Linked DNA regions of Neodiprion lecontei. The protein of the gene in region 1 purifies or fractionates together with the protein of each later gene. This does not show direct contact. Links are inferred from orthologs where the notes say so. Each region holds a gene or a part of one and is shown on either strand. Other genes may lie near its edges.

Region 1 (7,993 bases):
CGTCAGATTTAGATAAACAAAAAATGACCTGATAGTCGAGAAAGCGAACAGATTTGAATTCTCATTTATGTAGCAACCCTTACAACGTTCCTATATAAATTTTTATGTTTGATAATGCTCCTTTGTCTGCAATTAGTATTAGTTAGTTCGGCCATTGGGTAGTAATTTTTTCCATTTGTGATTGGGTCATGTGAGCACTGTTCTTATATTGAAAGTACGTGGGAGGTTTTAAGAACGTTGTTAGACTGTATGAAAATAATGGAGAGAATGATTATTATGGTTGCATTCATTGTGTGCGTATTTTATAAAGTGCGCTGGAAATATTGAATTCTTATTTATTTTATTAGTTTGTATAGTCTGTATTCAAGTATGATACGTTGCGTTTACGAATGTAAAAATTTGCTAGGGAATTCATTCGCCGTCATAAATGATACTTGTTTTCTATACGAGTGATTTTGGACAATTTTCAGCGCTGTTCAACTCGTCAACGTTGAGTCGTTTACAGACGTTTATTAAAGAACATAGAACATGTGTTAAATCTGATAGTTTTCGATTTCTTTTGGTCAATAATATTTATAAATGAACATCATGAGTATTGTTTTGATACACTTATGGCACTTTGTGCTAGTTTCCTTGGAATATTGCATTTTTTGTTCATCATCTCATATGCGCAGAAATTCGTTGCACGTGAAAAATGAAACACTGGAATTATTTTTGGTAAATTCCAGGCTCATAGCTCGTTGATATTACTGCGGATTTTATACATGCTGTCCAAAAGATAACAGAGTTAAGAAATTTATATTATAAGAGATCGCACACATATACAGGGTGTCGCAATGTCTATTATCTACAGAATTTAAATACTGTTTTTCTTAACTGAAATATCCGAAAACCAAATTGGTAGGTTACAGAAATTAAAGAAACTGCCGACAGCCTATAGTATATGTATACAACATACTAATAAATATATCACTGATTATAAAGGCATAGGTGGGAAATTGTAATTGTGATTGTTAATTTTAATATTATTTTGTGAGTAAATGCAGTTAAATAATTCTGTAGTAGGGTGAATTGTACGAAGCTAAAATCGCTGTCTTTCTTCCACTTATGAGAGATGTTTCTGAACATTGATGTCGAGCTATTCAAAAGTCGCAATTTGGCTGGTTGTATAGGCCGTTTTTGTACCTGCGACATTTTGTTGATATCATTTAGTCTCCGACGTAAATTTTAATGACGCGATAAATACGAACTTGCATATGCACCTATGCGTTTATAATTTGGTATTGAAGTTCCGAATATTACACGTTGTTTTCCCCCTATTTCTTAAGTAACTGCTTTTTTCGCCGGGTAGTTGCACCAAGCGTGTTCCTATACATATGAATATAGATTATAATTATATACGACGAATATACTAACGCGATCATGTAAATAATACGTCAATCGAATAAGTCCTACGTATAATTAGGTAGGCTAATTATCAAATCCTGTACATACAAGCAAATACAAAGTCTTTTGAATGTAAACTGACAGCGGAGAATTTGAAATAATTTATTTTAATCTCTAATTTCCGCCATACCACAGGAGGGGGGGAGGGGGGGTGCGCGTGCGTGTGCTTTCTGGAATGATGATCGCGGAGGGGAGTCAAAATACTAAACCTTCATGCCGAAAACCGGGCACATGTACATACCTGGTTAAAACCAGATCAAACCTCACCGGGATTTCGTTGCAAGAGAAGTAGGTCAACAATAAGTAACTGTGCAGGTCATGTATAAGAAATATAAGCCAACTTTTAATTACATTCTGTTAAATTAATACATTATCCTAATATATTATGAACGATACATAATAAACAAAGGAAGGAAGCAGAATGGCAAACGCGGCGGTCATATTCGCCACAATAAACTCAAATGAATGCAGTCTTCAATAATATTTTTGTCTTCAAATTATTTGAAGGTGTCTCGAGATTTGAAAAAATACTATACATCGCCAATGAAGTTATTACATTGTTGTAATGTAGTATATTTTATATTTATATATAATATATTATATATAGATATTTATATGATTCACGACTCCTCTCTAACGACGGTGTTAACTTGCCTGTTGTATGAGAGTCAGTTACTCGGCCGCTGCGACCTTCTTTGCCGGAGGCTGTTGCTTATCTCGATTTGGGCTGTTTCTCCTTTTGCGTCCACCTCTGTATCCGCCTCGGCCTGAAAATGAAAAATACGTAACGCATTATTGAGTTGTATCCCAGTAATCGAGTAAGGTAAAGAGCCTCACTTCAAATAGTAGTTTCCATCAGTGCGTTTAGAAAATTTCAACTCAGCGAGATCCTGAAGATCTCTCAGTATTAGCATGGCTAGTCATCATTTAAACTACTTGAATTTCGATAGTACGTAATCAATTATACTGCCTGAAGGGTGACTTGATTTTTCTCAATTGAAATAGGTTAGTAACTTAAATTTATTGGCGAAATACATGATTGATTCACGTTGTGTATAAACATCCAAGGCTCTAAATTTTCTAGAAAACGAAGAATGATAATGTGCTCACCGCCTCTTCGGCCGCCACGTTTTCCTTTGTGGTCATATTTCTGTCGGAGATTTGCCATCTCCTCTTTGGCTTTTGCTAAGTATTTGTCCTCTTCTTCGCCTTCCAAAATCCTGCAAGTTACTTCTTTGCCACTGATTAGAAGCTATAAAGTACAGAGCAATATTCCAGTTAATATATTTCGAATTATAAACTTCGGATACGTCAGAACAACTGATAAACGCTATTTGTGTGACATTTATATTTCATATAGTTACGGTATCTGCTGTGCTGAAAGTAGCGCAGTGTATACCACGGATTGTCGAGCTGAAACTCATCTGCATTTTTGAGCGTTCAAAAAAGATATACCGCTCACCTTCCCATTTTCCATCTTTTCGAAAACTGGGAGTGCTGCTTCATCACCCTGAAGTCGAGCCCAGCCCTCCACGTCACCTTTTTTGAAATCTATGAATGCAACTCTCCCTTCTAGGGCTCCTAGACGTTCCTTGATATCTTCTCGAGTGGTTTCTTCAGAAAGGCCAGACAAATGGATCACAGACCCCTTGGGCAATCCTTTCTCACCTTTTTCTTTCTCTCCATCCTCTGTGTCTTCTTCCCCTTCGGCCTCATCAGCTTCCTAAGACATAATTACAGTATGAAATGTAGAATATCATTCATGGAATCATAATTTCAATTATTCAAGGAGATTAGATAGATTAATTGATTGAAGAAAAATACAAACTTTGTCTCCTTTTTTGCCAGTCTTCTCTGCCTTTTTCAGTCTTCTTTCTTCCTTTTCTTTAGTTTTCTCTATATAGTAGTCTGATCTATATAAAAAAAAGAAGTAACATTATCCACAAATACTACATCCCTACAATAAGATAGATCAGGCGATATGGCTCATGAACGGAGGAAAAATGATTTCCATGTCCTTACGACTAAACACGATTACATTTTACAATCAGTAGTAAGGCATCCAATCATATAAAATTGAGGAAAAAGAGAAAGAAACAAAAAATACTTACGACCATTTTCTTATCAGTTCAGTATCTTCGTATTTGAGGGACTCCTTCTCCATAAAACTCGTCGCAAGTTCGAGTGTTTTGAATTGAACAAAAATAGAACCTTTGAACTGTAGTTTTTTCTCCTTGTCTTGGTACTTGCGCATCTATAATAATAACAGTATGACAAAACAAGCAGATGAGAAATCAAAGATTCTAGTGTTCGGCAAGTTTAAATTTCAGAATAGATTAATATCCTTGCTTTTAACCGATTTCTAGAGCAAAAAATGCTGTTTTCTACGATCGAATCGATACAAACTGATTGGATTAATTGGACCCCAAGGAAGCTAAAAAAGACGTCAAGAGCATCGGAAAGCCAACAATTGAGGAATTTTTCGAATGTCGCTCTTGATCTGCTGCTCACAGCAACTCTAAACTTTGCATAATCAATTTCTATCGCAAAATTACAACTGTATAGTGTGTTAACTGATTAATTCTAGCATTATTCAATATTGTCAAAATTTCGGTGAACAGAATTAAAAGGGGTTTCTTCATTCTACTGATAATTGGAACCGAAAATTTTGCATTACAGAATCGAATTGTGGGATCCTTCCTAGACAAATCCAAACCTCACGAATGCAAAAGAGACATCAACAACATTGATTACTCTTACTTGATAGCACTTGGATTTAAGGCGTCATGCCCTGGTCTATGTAATGGATTCTTTAGGTGGTTGGAGTACAATGCATCGTAACCTATTTAAGGGTATTTATGAGAATCCATTCCATATTTTTGCAAAACATTCGATTAAACTTTGTAGTATTGCTAGCATTTAGATGTTAGGAAGTACGCTCTGGTCAGCTAAGACCAATACGTTATTGCAAGACTTAACAATTTAATAACTTGGAGACTGTAACCCCAGAGCCCATCTTCCAGCGAGATAAATGGATGAAAAATCTGTATATTTATTTAACCCTGGCCCATTCATGGCAAATTCTGTCACAATATCATCATCATTTGACAGCAAATTTTGATAAAACATTATCTTAATTCTCATATATTTACTATTAGATCGGTCATGTAACGCAATGCTCAACACACGTTAATAAAAATAATTGGAATCGTAAGAAAATGATGTCTGAGACCAACACTGGTATTACATTAATCATATTAGCTATTGATTATTCTATGTAAAATTCCTAGTGTATGTCTAATACATGAAATATTGAGTGTGGATTATAAATTTTGACTGCAACTAATCTGCGTTTATCAATAGTTTCAGATATTTCATTGACTTGCAATAGAACAGGCAATATTTCGTTACTTCGGTCCTTACCACAATGTTTTCCACAGGTCCATAAGGCTGGAAAAATACTTTGAGTTTCTCAATATTTGTGTTGTTCAGAGGAAAGCCTTTGACATACACAGTTCGCTCCTCTTGAGCTTTTCGGTAGGCTTCATCAAAAACTGGTAGAGGATGAGTAGGAGAGCGTCGAAGCTTCTTCTTATCTTCGGAAACTTCCATTAGTTCACTGCTAGCTAACGCCTTGATAATAGTTTCAAGATCAGTGGTCATCGATGCTAGCATCTTGAACTTTAGCAGAACTGACATTGGAATCCAACCCTCATCTAGTTTGGACTGTTCTATCAAGAATTTGTCCCGCTGCATGTTCACGTCGCCGAAGTAGAACTGTAAATTATTCACATTCAAGGATGGTGCATAATTCAATTACAAAAATTCATACTCTAAGACAAGCCTTCATCCATCAGCACTTGTAACGATGACAATTCAAATGAGATTTGGTTAGTGAAGGATAGGGATGGTTAGGTGAGACTGAAGCCGAGGGCGGTTAATGTGGCTTCGTAAAGGACAAATTCGACGTTTTACTGTTGCGAGAATAAAAGTTATGGCCTTACCTCAATCTGGTTTCGGACTTTAGCCAAAAGTTCTGGGTTGGGTTCATCGCCAGTTTTCTGCTCGCCGGTCGGAGTATCCTTAGCCGGGTTATCTTTAACCTCACTTACGGTAGCGTTGGTCTGCTCTTGGGCCTTCGCCACGTCGTTACCGTTCTCCATTTTCTGCGTGATTCAATAATGCGTATTTCTTTGTATTGAACTATTTTTCGAAGTGGCTTATACAAACAGCCGTGAGTTTTAGTTAAATATCACTTCGCTTATTTTCAATGACCAGTAACAAACACGTGCACCGAACACCTAGTAAATGCTTCGAACGCGAAAACGGAAATGAGAATTAGCGGTACGCTGACGCCAGATACAACCGTTGGTAAGCGTCGGCCACGAAGTAACACTAGAGAAACCGAACTCAGCCGAAGCCGAGTTCAAAAGTTGGCTCATTATACATACTGCACGAAAAAGGCCAAGTCCGCAGAACGGAAAAGCTACATGCTCGCGCATGCGCTGTTCGCAGTATAGCCGTGTCTTTTTCTTTCTCACTGAGAGTGCGAGCGAGGGAGCTCCATGCATATTGCCCTGATGTGCTTTGGTGTGACAAGCGAAAATCGTTACCGATTTCGACATGATGCTAGCTGCAGTCACCTTCCAAGTAACACAGTCTTCGCAATGCTGAGCCCAAGCCAGTACTCAGCCTATGTGTACTTACCGAATTCTCGGCGATACAAGAAATTAATAATCAGAATAAATTTCTTCCAAAGTTCGTAGCAAAACAGTGATTTAATTAAAGTATAGGTACCCGAGAGAAGAATGAACTCATATTTAGGTCAGATGTAATAACGATCCAGAGCCCAAAAAGTATATATGTATATGCGATCCATGTACGATATTAATATATATGATCCATTTACGATTAATTCGTGATGCATACTATAAAGTTTATAATTTTCCACGAGACAAACTAGATTATCTACAATAATCGGCTATGACATTAAAATAGAACGGTTATTCATTTCGAAATGGGATTCTCTTCGACACGCGGTCGATGTATTCCACAACATTAATATTCATAATTATTCCCACAACATTTCATTTGCTCTCTCGATCTTGAATTTTCGTAGGCATAGAATCGAAACGCTGTTTTAGCTACTCGAAAGTGAAGACTCTACGTTGGGTAGAGAAGCAGAATTGTTTTTAGAAAAGTGTTCATATGGAAAAAAGTTCAGAGTAACTGCAATACATCACGGATGCGCTAATTTTGATCGAGATGGAATAGATCCTCCGTATACGAGACGGTATACGAGTACAACGCAGTGTCCTGATTTGAAGACCTAAAAAGGTGATTGTCGGCGATTTTTTTTTTTTTGACAAGGAGAGATGGAACGAGGCTTCTTAAAATTTCGAGTGTATTTTAACACGCATTTGAAAGCTAAGAGCGAAAATTTTTATCATCCAACTGTCGCAGGACAGCAGCGTTATTGGCTGACCCGTTGAATAAAGAATATATCTTCAGTCAACGGCTGACCATCAAAGGGCCTAGACGCTTGAGTCTGGAATCGGTAGGAAACATAAAGTGCGTATTTCTTGTCTGGAACGTGGAAACTAAAATCATTATACATCATATCATATCATCATACATCATACATCATACATAGTATTAAAGTTCGAAATCTTAGATTGGATGTTCGGATGTTCGCATATTCAGAAAGTGATGTCACCTAAAATTTCCCTTGATGTCATCGATCGGAAATCAGCTAGCCGAATTTTTCAGTCTGGAAACAACCGCGCAGTGGAGCGGACGTATGAGAATCGCGCTCCGCAGATTTCGAGTACCGGATTCTCTACCTCCGTGGTTCCTGCAATCGGGGTTTGCTTACTGGTGCAACTCGAGTTGCAGAACAAGCGCTCCGTAGTTTGTATGCTCCAGGTCCGCTACCTGGTGAAACTCGACTTCCAGGACAAGTGCTCCGTAGTTCTGACTGTCCTGGTCCTTGACCTGGTGACTTTTGACCTTCAGGACGAATTTTCCGTTGTTCTGGCTGTCCAGGTCCTCCAACTGGTGAATTTTGACATCCAGGTAAAGCGCTCCGTAGTCCAGGTTCTTGAATTGGTAACTTTTTACCCAGCGCTGCGTAGTTTCTGCGCTCCAGGTTCGGTTCCTGTTGAAACTCGATTTCTAGTGCAAACGCTCCGTAGTTTCTGCGGTCCAGGTCCACTACCCGGCGACACTCGACTTCAAGAAGAGGACGAGGAGGACGAGACGATGCAGGAAGACATGGAGATCAAAGAGGACGAGGTGGACGAGGAGGATTTTTCGCGCGAGCCCAAATTTAGTAGCTATCAATTTGCTGATGAAATTTCTATAATTTTTTAATTTCCTTTTTTTTTTGACCAGGCGGATGTTTCGAGAAATTTTATAAAGGGGACATTATAGATATATCCATATAGCGTGAAACGGTAGGTATACGGAATGAAACGTTGCCCGAAAAACAGATTCAGATTCGTTTGAAATTCTGTCACGAACAGCCGAGTTTACCAAAGTAAAATGC
Region 2 (8,779 bases), on another chromosome or scaffold:
ACATATCCAAATCGTCATTGAGCAATTGACTACGTTGTTGCATCATGGGAATTTTCAATTTTAAAAAAAATCGAAAATACCAAGAAATTAATTAAAATTATATCGGCACAATAATTACTCGACGATTATGACCTATTTAACACTGGAATTAACGCTCACAATATATAGTGAAAAATTACTCACTCAATCCTCATATTATTTAAAAGTTTAACGAAAATAAATTGACTCTAATATACTTGGTCGCTACAGTGGAATTTTTTTTTAATGCAAATAGTTGATATTTTTTCACCTGGTACGAACACATGGAACGTTTTTTTTTGCGGTGATCATGGATCTACGTTAAGATTTTTAACTATTTTATCAAAAAAATATAGCACGCGATAAATAACATTTCGTTAGATAGCCAAGGATTTAAATTAATTGCTTTTATCATTTTACAGAAATGTTGTTCTATTAAACATACCAATTTTTAACGGACTTTATACTTAATTATTTCATACATGATTCTATGAAATCTACCTAACATCCATTATCATTTGTAGTGTACGTTCTTATCATACACATTTTTCGCATTAATTGATTTTTTTTTTTCAATTTTTTTATTCTTTAATGCTGTTTTCACGTTTGCTGTAAACACGGACCCTCATTTTAACACAACGTAACTTAGTGCACGTGAATAAATAGATCTCACCAAATTCATAAATTTTGGAATATAAAAAAATACTGTTTTCTTCTGACGAATATTATATTACTTTTAACCTAAATTCAGATTTTATGAGAAGAATAAAAGTAAAATCACCTAAAAATATTGTATATTATACATTGACAATTTTATAGAGAAGAAAATTTCAGAGTAAAAAAAGGAAAATATGAGTTAATACATTAAATTCGATAGTTGAAAAAATAATGATAGCGATATAATATTCGTTATTGAACAAAGCTTTATCCCGTGCTTTTATTGATTATCAATAAAATCGTTTATACTATATCATTTAAGACTAATTAACAAATTAGGTGTAGCTTAGCACACTCCCGATTTATTTATTCATTTTTCTAGTTTCAACAATAACAGTGGATTTTATATCACAGTATATAAGTATAAGGGATATTCAGTGTTTACTTCTCGTTACTTTGGATATGGCAAATATGAAATAACAGTAAAAATTACACTAAAAATTGTAAGCTTACACTCTTTGGGGTTAAATGCATATCACAGAGAAAATTTTTCATCTTTATTTATTCTCTTTCTTTCCACTTTTTTTTCACATTTTCTATCAACTGGTGTAAACCGGGAGTGTGCGAATTTCTAATTCATTATGCATTCGTAATAGTTATTACTAGAGCCTGGGTAAATGTGTATTACAAATTATAAAACATGTACGTATAATATAAACTTAAAAAACCTAAAATATGGGGGAAAAAAAATATAAAAAATAGAAACTGCATTTTCTGGCTCCAAACATCTTACTTTATGTAGAAAACCAAATAAGAAATAAAAATGATTTAGTAAAAAATATATATTCACGTATCAATCCAGGCCCTAGTTATTACACACTAAAAGTATATCAAAAAACCACAAACCCATAGCCAAAACCAAGATCAAATTGAAGCAAAATTATTATTACAATGTATAATTTTTGAGTATTATTATACGTATCAAGCATACTGTACAATCGTAAGCCTAAATACTCTGCTGCGTTTGACTACTAGCTTGAAATCAAAATGTTTCGAACTCATAAAAAAAAAAGCAACAATAAAAATGCATCAACATGCGATATGCAGAATGACATTAAGCATAAGGAGAAAAAAAAAAAATTTCTTCTTAAAAGAATACACGCCTTATTCTTAATTGTAATCACATAAAATCATTATCTAATAGTGGTATCAACTTAGTGTTAAAGATTCACAGTGCAAAATAACGCATATTTTATTTTTCTATTATATTTGTTAAATAGAGAGTGTCCATTTTTTTTCACCACTGTTAATCACGTGCTAAGTTAGAACTTTATAGATTTCTAATTTGTCATGGTAAATTTAGATAAAATAGATAAAATTTAGTAGGACCCGTTGATATTTTTTTTTGCTCGACTTTTAAAGAAACATACCACGATGACACAGAATGGTGTAGACGTTACAGCGAAACACAATATGACCAATATGTATTAAGCCATTTGTGTTCATGTACTTTGACGTTTTTCCCATAAAGATGCTCTTAATAGCAACGAGATATTCAAATTCTATTCGAGAAACGAATTCCATGTATGGTAAATGTCTCGACAATTGTTAATTTTTTTTGTATTATCGTATTAGTGGTAATTAAGTCGTGATTTATATATTTCTCCCGTGTCGACCCGAGTCACATTAAATCTAGAATAATATATTCATAAAATGATCTAAATGCGGCTAATAAATCGATAAATAATCAGAGCTTTATCAAAAAGGTCAGTCTGTGTGGGTTGTCGACACTCTACGTTAAAGTAAAAGATATCTTAGGCAGTTGTAGTAATTATTTAGTCTCTCTATCATTAAACTATGCAGCATTAATTACTCCGATTATCATATCATTTGAAACCATGGCCAACTTCACTTTTTCCAGATAATATCTTTTTTTCCCCATTTTAATTATAATCTTTACATAGATATATCTTCGAACTTTTTCACATATTGATACTCTTTATCATTCATATTGTACGAAATAGAAAACACGGAATCACTTCTAAAATAATTCTTGATTCTACTGCTATCTGCCACAAATGTTTCTGTCCAGCTATAAGCAAATAATGTATACAAGATAATTAAGAACCTTGAAAACTCCAGACACAAATTAAAATCGATAGTATGAAGTGCGTAGAAAATTTTGGACCTTGAAAGAACAAAATTATACAAGTATTTCTAATGTCGCAATAATAAATTGTTAGGTATTGTATGTGCAGGACAGATAAAGATTAAGAATTGGAAGATGAAAAATATAACTTCATTTCCAACAGCTGCAAAATGCAACTGACTAACCTCTCGTGATTAAATGCCATTCTCATTCTCCAGGGTGATTTGTAATTTTATAACTTGTAACACACTGATGTATTATAGCCAATTTGCGTACGTCTCTTGTTCCTGATGTACATTGTATTTTTCCTTTTTTCTCTTTGGTTGGTGTTGAGACATTTGTGGCTGTTAGAAAAGGTTAGGTTAGAAGGATATCGTTGCAAATTAAAACAGGGACCTTGCAAAAGCTTCGATAATTTTTGGGACATTCTCATCGAATCCACAGATAGTGAGAGTGTTTTTGTCGTCATCGCTATGAGGTACCATTTGTGCAGTTGTCATCGCACAGGTTACTAATCTATAATGAATGTCAGAAATGAGTAAATTGGTGAAATGATAGAATTTTATATGTCATGTGTGACAAGCACTTACTTTGCATTTTTTAGCTCCATTTTGCTTCGATACTCTTTGATAGCTTTCCTAGGGTTGTCAGTTCTCGCTCCATTCCCACATCTTTTGTCAACAACGTCGACTACGTTTATAAATACGTCGATTTCTTCACTTTTTTGAGCTGCCCAAATCATTGGCTTTTCCAAGTTAACCTCCCCTGTTGGCATTTGCTTCATTTTCTTCACAATTTGTCCCAATGATGCATTTTTATTCAAATATACAATATGAACACCAATATTTTTGAAAGTTGCCACTGTTACATTGTTCTCACTCCGAAGAAGGCACAGTGCTATCAGACATCCTGCTTCTGCTGAGCTGAGATTTCCACACCGCCATGCAGAATTGTCTTGCATAGCTTTGCTCATATCTATTGTAATCATATATCGAAGACCTGTTGGTGCCAGACTCTAAGATGGAGATAATAATAAAGCATCAATCTGCGTTTCCCTGATGAGCAATGATGTGACAGAATTATACAACTTACATTAAACGAATATCCAAGTGTTTTGTAAAGAGCTTCAATAATTTTTCTTGTAGGTTTTGGCGGTGGAATCACTGATCTTGCTTTGGCTTTTCTGGCCTTCTGTTTTTCGTACGATAAAGCTCTGATAGAGAACAAAAAAATTGGTTACAAAAAATCTGTTAGTTAAATTTGTGACTAGCATACAAAACATATCAGATTACATACGGGCCAGATTTTTCGTAATTCTTAATTGTGATCAGAACCAGAGCTGGGTGAATCTTTTCCTTGAGTAGCTTCTCTTGGTTGCAGATTTCATCAACTACTTTATCGACTGCCGCGCCAGTTGGTTCTAGTATTCCAATGTTGTGCATTCTTTGGAGATTGTGAAGCAGCATGGTTATATTCATTGTTGGTATCAATGAATTCCATACCTGATTATATCGATTGGCATGTCAATACTTTATTCCCAGTTTTATTAACATTCCAAATTAATGTCTGCGAAAGTTACCTCTTCAGATTTCAGTAAATGCCCAGGGACATGATCCAATGTAAGATTATGAAGTTCTAGCAATCTGCCAGCCAATACTTGATCTTCGCAATGTTTAAAATTTTCAATTTTTTGAATATACTCAATCACTTCGGCAGCTTCCGGTTTATCGCCAAAATCTTTTATCGTTTCTTTCAACCCGAACAATACGTACTTCAGAACAGCCTTCTTTGCTGTTTTACATACAAAGTTGATACATTAATTATTCATGCATGATACTGAGAGCATTCGATTATTGCTTGTTTAGTCTCAAAAGGACCAAAGCTGTTGGCACTATTCTAACAAGTATGAAACTCAATTGTAATATAAATGAACCTGAATAGTGTGGATTGATTCAAATTACCAATATCGTCTGTTTTGGGATGAGATAATTTCACAATATCCTTGTGAGTCCAGCCATATCTGCCTTTGCATCCGGTAACACACTTCGCTAAATCAAGTGCATCTTTGGACAAGTACCACTCATTTACAGCTTTTCGCCATCCGGCACCCCAACCGTGTTTCGGTTCCGGTGCGCTCTTGGCTATTTGAGAAGCAAACTTGACGAACAGAATGAAATGTTGCGGTGTTGTACAAATTGTTTTTATCGCATTGTAGGCAGCGTGGCGCAGACTCTCGTTCTCAGTTTGTCTGGCACATACTGCCAGTGCAAATATCAAAGTTTCTGAATTTTGTACCAGTTTTCTTTCAAAAGCCTGAAAAGGAAAATGACTAGAGATAAACGAGTATTCATATGTAGCTCAATAATCAGTATTCCCGTTGTGTCTAAGAAATAATTAGAAAAACATTGATTAACAGATATAAACTATGTACCTTTTTAATCAAGTCGATTGCTACCAATGGGTTCTGTGTTTCGGCTATTTTTTTTATGGACTGAACGCGACCTTCTTCATAATAATTGTGAAAAAACCAATTGCCTGGTTGATAATTTGGGTATTCTTTCCCGACATACAGATATTGGCAAAGACGTACTTCAAGTTGAATTAGACTATCTCCTGATAGCGCAGGCTCCGCCATATTTATTAATTATACGTCAATTCTGTAAATCGATTATTATCGTTGTTATTATTAATTTAATAATTGTTTTTCCATGTAAAACATTTCTAAATCCATGTAATTTTTCTGCATCTTCCACTGGTGGCCAGAAAAAATTTTTATGGCATATATCAATCGATGTAATGCTTTTCTGTCAATATATTATACTTAAAATACGTGACTGTTGATTAGAATATTTATAAGCTGCAAGCTGTAGAATTTACTCATCGAAATACCTCTAAAAAACATATATGGTGTAGATTAAAAGCCTATATCAACACAAGACTTTTACCCTTAATACGTGTTTTCAAAGTTGAACAAAATCGATGAAGTAGCGGATCGTGTAACATATTATCTAAGTAGGAAACGTACAAGTCGAATCCAACCCAAATTTCCACCGGTGTCTAAATTTGAAGATATTCAATTTCGGAGTAACAACAAAAAATGTCGGAAAAAAAGCTAAGTGAGCTGAAAAGAATCGTTGTAGCACTTTCTTTTAAACACCGTTTAATGCATTGTCAAAAGTCAGTGCAATTTGTGAAATGATATACGCATACGCATCAAGTTTGGATGAGAAAAATTTTGATTAAACATTCAATTACAATATATCTTATCCATTACATATCCGGCGTATTTCCATATATGCATAGCCGCGAGCTGATCGTGGTTAGGTATTCAGTGAACAATGTAAAACGACGTTACGACCGTCGAACTCGTACGTACTTCGTACTCCGAAATGCGAAATTGGCGGAAGAATGTGGAATGCGTTAAAGAACCGACACACTCACGCACGTAATTCCAAACGCGTAACCGCAATTACCTTATAAAGCGAGTTGGAAAAAAAGAATGAGACAATATTGATACGAATATGACATGACGTGACGTCAGGATTCCAAGCGAATTCTCTTCCTCTCGTTTTCAACAGGGTGCTGAGTGGCTGAATCATTCGTTGGCTAATGCTAAAACGGTGTTATGTTCTTGTCGTATTACCAGAAAAACTAACGGTTACCTGATAATATCGGAAAAATGTCTGTAGCGCTGCCCAAATACGACCATACAATATTTCCTACGGACAACGGCACGTCAGTTGCGATGTTTGCACCATAGACTTATAAAAGATAGACTGAGCGCTCTCATGAGCCGTTTGAAGCAAACATTTAAAGGACAGATATATGCCGCGAGTACTCCTTTCTCTCTCTGTCGATATTTGCGGCGGGGATCGAGGCGGCAGAGGAGAATGAGGCGAAATTATACGCCTATATCTATAGCTGTTCCACTTCCCGTGAAGGGGAAAGGAACAAATTTTGGCATTTCATTGCCATCTCTCTCGACGACTGTCGGTAAGATAGAAGAGCTTTATCTGACGGCTTCGTGAAATCTGAATTACCTGTTTTTTCACCCGCGATCGTCTAACTGTTCGAAATTTGTCGGGTTCTTATTGTTTTTGATGAATTGAGGTGAAGTACGTATAGGTGACAGATTGATGGTTAATTAAAAGTGAAATTGGTGATTCGATTTATATAGAAATTGTATTTTATTATTTACAGGCTACAGATAAAACGTATCTAAAAATTAGGCCGTATAATAAGATCAAATCTAATGAATACGGTACATATTGGTAATGGGGTGTACAATATTAACATATATTGACGTAGCGCGTTAGGGCGTATTAGATACAATTTAAATAACTTATATTTGAAAATTATCTCACTTACAAAAAAAAAAGAGATGATATCCGGAGAGAGTCTGAGAGAATTACATTCGAAATAATTCTAATTATCTCATCCTAACAAAACACTCCTTGGCAAGTGTTTGATTCAGGTACCACAATGTACCAAGGTACAGTTTACGTCTGGTTATTTTCAAGTATATAGTCGTTTATAGTTTCGTACCCACGTCAAATGCTCGCCGAAAAATCCTCGTATGCTTCCATACAAATATCTTAAACAATTGATAAAAATGGACTATAGGTAATAGCTGCATGATAAAACTATGCCTATTGGTTTTTATCGAAGTAAACAACTACACAAGCTTCCCTCTTGACTCTCATACAACTGCATTCGTTACTCCTATTACAATATGGAGTATCACATATTTTCTCAACTATCGTATATCACTTTTGCACCAAAATTCAACGATGATCAAACACACTCTTGGATTCAAGGAACTCGTGGGATTCTTCTTCGCTTGTTAGGTGCCAGGATCTTCAGCATAGTGACAACCGGAGCCTCGAAAGCCAAAGAAATCGCGAATGACAAGGCATACGAAAGCACGAATTGCCCGAGGAATGTTATCAACTGAAAAGTTAGTTACATACGTTAATCGTTTGTTTTAACCGAGTGCAATGCAACCCAGGCGAATTTAATACCCTTTTATATTTACGTCAGAGTTTACGTACCACAGTATCTTTCCCAAGATGAAACGGTGCGTCTAGATTCATTGCTGTTAGTCGAATAACGATAGGATGGACAAGGTAGGCACAATAAGTAACTCTGCTAAACGGGTGCAGAATTGGCGCCGATAATATGCTGTTGACGTAACCTGAATAAGAAAAATTAAAAATGTCGTTAATACGATTTGAAGTAATGAGTCTATTACCATCTCTGTAAAAAGATCTGAGAATTGAACAAAGTCTTGTTTCCTTTATCTTTGTCCAATTTCAGAATAATTGTGCAATTTGAACAATTATCGATTAAAAATTTGTCTCTGTAAGCGAGCATAGATTCAGGCCATGAAGTTATAAATAATTTTTCATATATTCTGTCAACTGACCTCCGTAGCCTGTGCTGCACGCTACGACTATCCATGCTAGTCCAAGTGACCATGCGCTGTGGCTTAAGGAAGAGTAAGCAGCTGCCGTTGCAAGACTCAATTCCGTCTCGTACAAACCGTAGAGTAAACTGAGAAGACACGCTGTTGACAGTAGCCAGCCCACAGTAACCGTCATCTGAAATACGAAAGGCATTATTTGAATGTCGATATTTTTCAAGTAGCGTTTTACGCGTAAGATGACAAATCCACAACAGCGTGGGTGTGAAATATGTGTAAAGCAAAGACCAACCTTGGACATAGTAATTTTGCAGTTTGTCTTGAAGAGTAAATACCCTACGGACATCCCAATCAAATAAGGACCAAGCCTCGTCCAAGGCTTGTCGTAAATTTTGTCAAATAATGCGAGGGGATCGTCCGAGCTTGGCATGTGGTTGTTGGTGTAAGCGATGTAAGCCGTTACTATCCAGGAACTGAGGAGTAACATCGCAGTCGAAAATGCAGCAATCTTGACGTGATTGGTCGCTACGATC

The links. The genes of interacting proteins can lie anywhere in the genome.
Region 2: the proteins of la protein homolog (region 1) and 60 kDa SS-A/Ro ribonucleoprotein purify together in Homo sapiens (affinity purification with mass spectrometry; 3 studies listed by BioGRID and IntAct, with this or other methods). This does not show direct contact. The link is inferred for Neodiprion lecontei from reciprocal best matches to the Homo sapiens genes SSB and RO60.

Annotation. Positions count from the first base shown.
Region 1 is NC_060261.1:34,444,958-34,452,950, forward strand, and holds la protein homolog, read right to left. Parts: upstream 5,877-7,993; 5' UTR 5,610-5,876; coding exon 5,451-5,609; intron 5,224-5,450; coding exon 4,870-5,223; intron 3,701-4,869; coding exon 3,558-3,700; intron 3,360-3,557; coding exon 3,275-3,359; intron 3,170-3,274; coding exon 2,909-3,169; intron 2,699-2,908; coding exon 2,557-2,698; intron 2,379-2,556; exon of another isoform or gene 2,297-2,378; intron 2,214-2,296; coding exon 2,119-2,213; 3' UTR 1,352-2,118; downstream 1-1,351. UniProt on the Homo sapiens protein: Binds to the 3' poly(U) terminus of nascent RNA polymerase III transcripts, protecting them from exonuclease digestion and facilitating their folding and maturation.
Region 2 is NC_060262.1:27,929,745-27,938,523, reverse strand, and holds 60 kDa SS-A/Ro ribonucleoprotein, read right to left. Parts: upstream 6,592-8,779; 5' UTR 6,487-6,591; intron 6,475-6,486; exon of another isoform or gene 6,298-6,474; intron 6,104-6,297; exon of another isoform or gene 6,080-6,103; intron 5,482-6,079; 5' UTR 5,460-5,481; coding exon 5,256-5,459; intron 5,138-5,255; coding exon 4,786-5,137; intron 4,616-4,785; coding exon 4,404-4,615; intron 4,327-4,403; coding exon 4,121-4,326; intron 4,038-4,120; coding exon 3,917-4,037; intron 3,840-3,916; coding exon 3,415-3,839; intron 3,341-3,414; coding exon 3,208-3,340; 3' UTR 529-3,207; downstream 1-528. Other genes in the region: nose resistant to fluoxetine protein 6, read right to left, coding at 7,637-7,774, 7,876-8,018, 8,250-8,424, 8,539-8,779. UniProt on the Homo sapiens protein: RNA-binding protein that binds to misfolded non-coding RNAs, pre-5S rRNA, and several small cytoplasmic RNA molecules known as Y RNAs.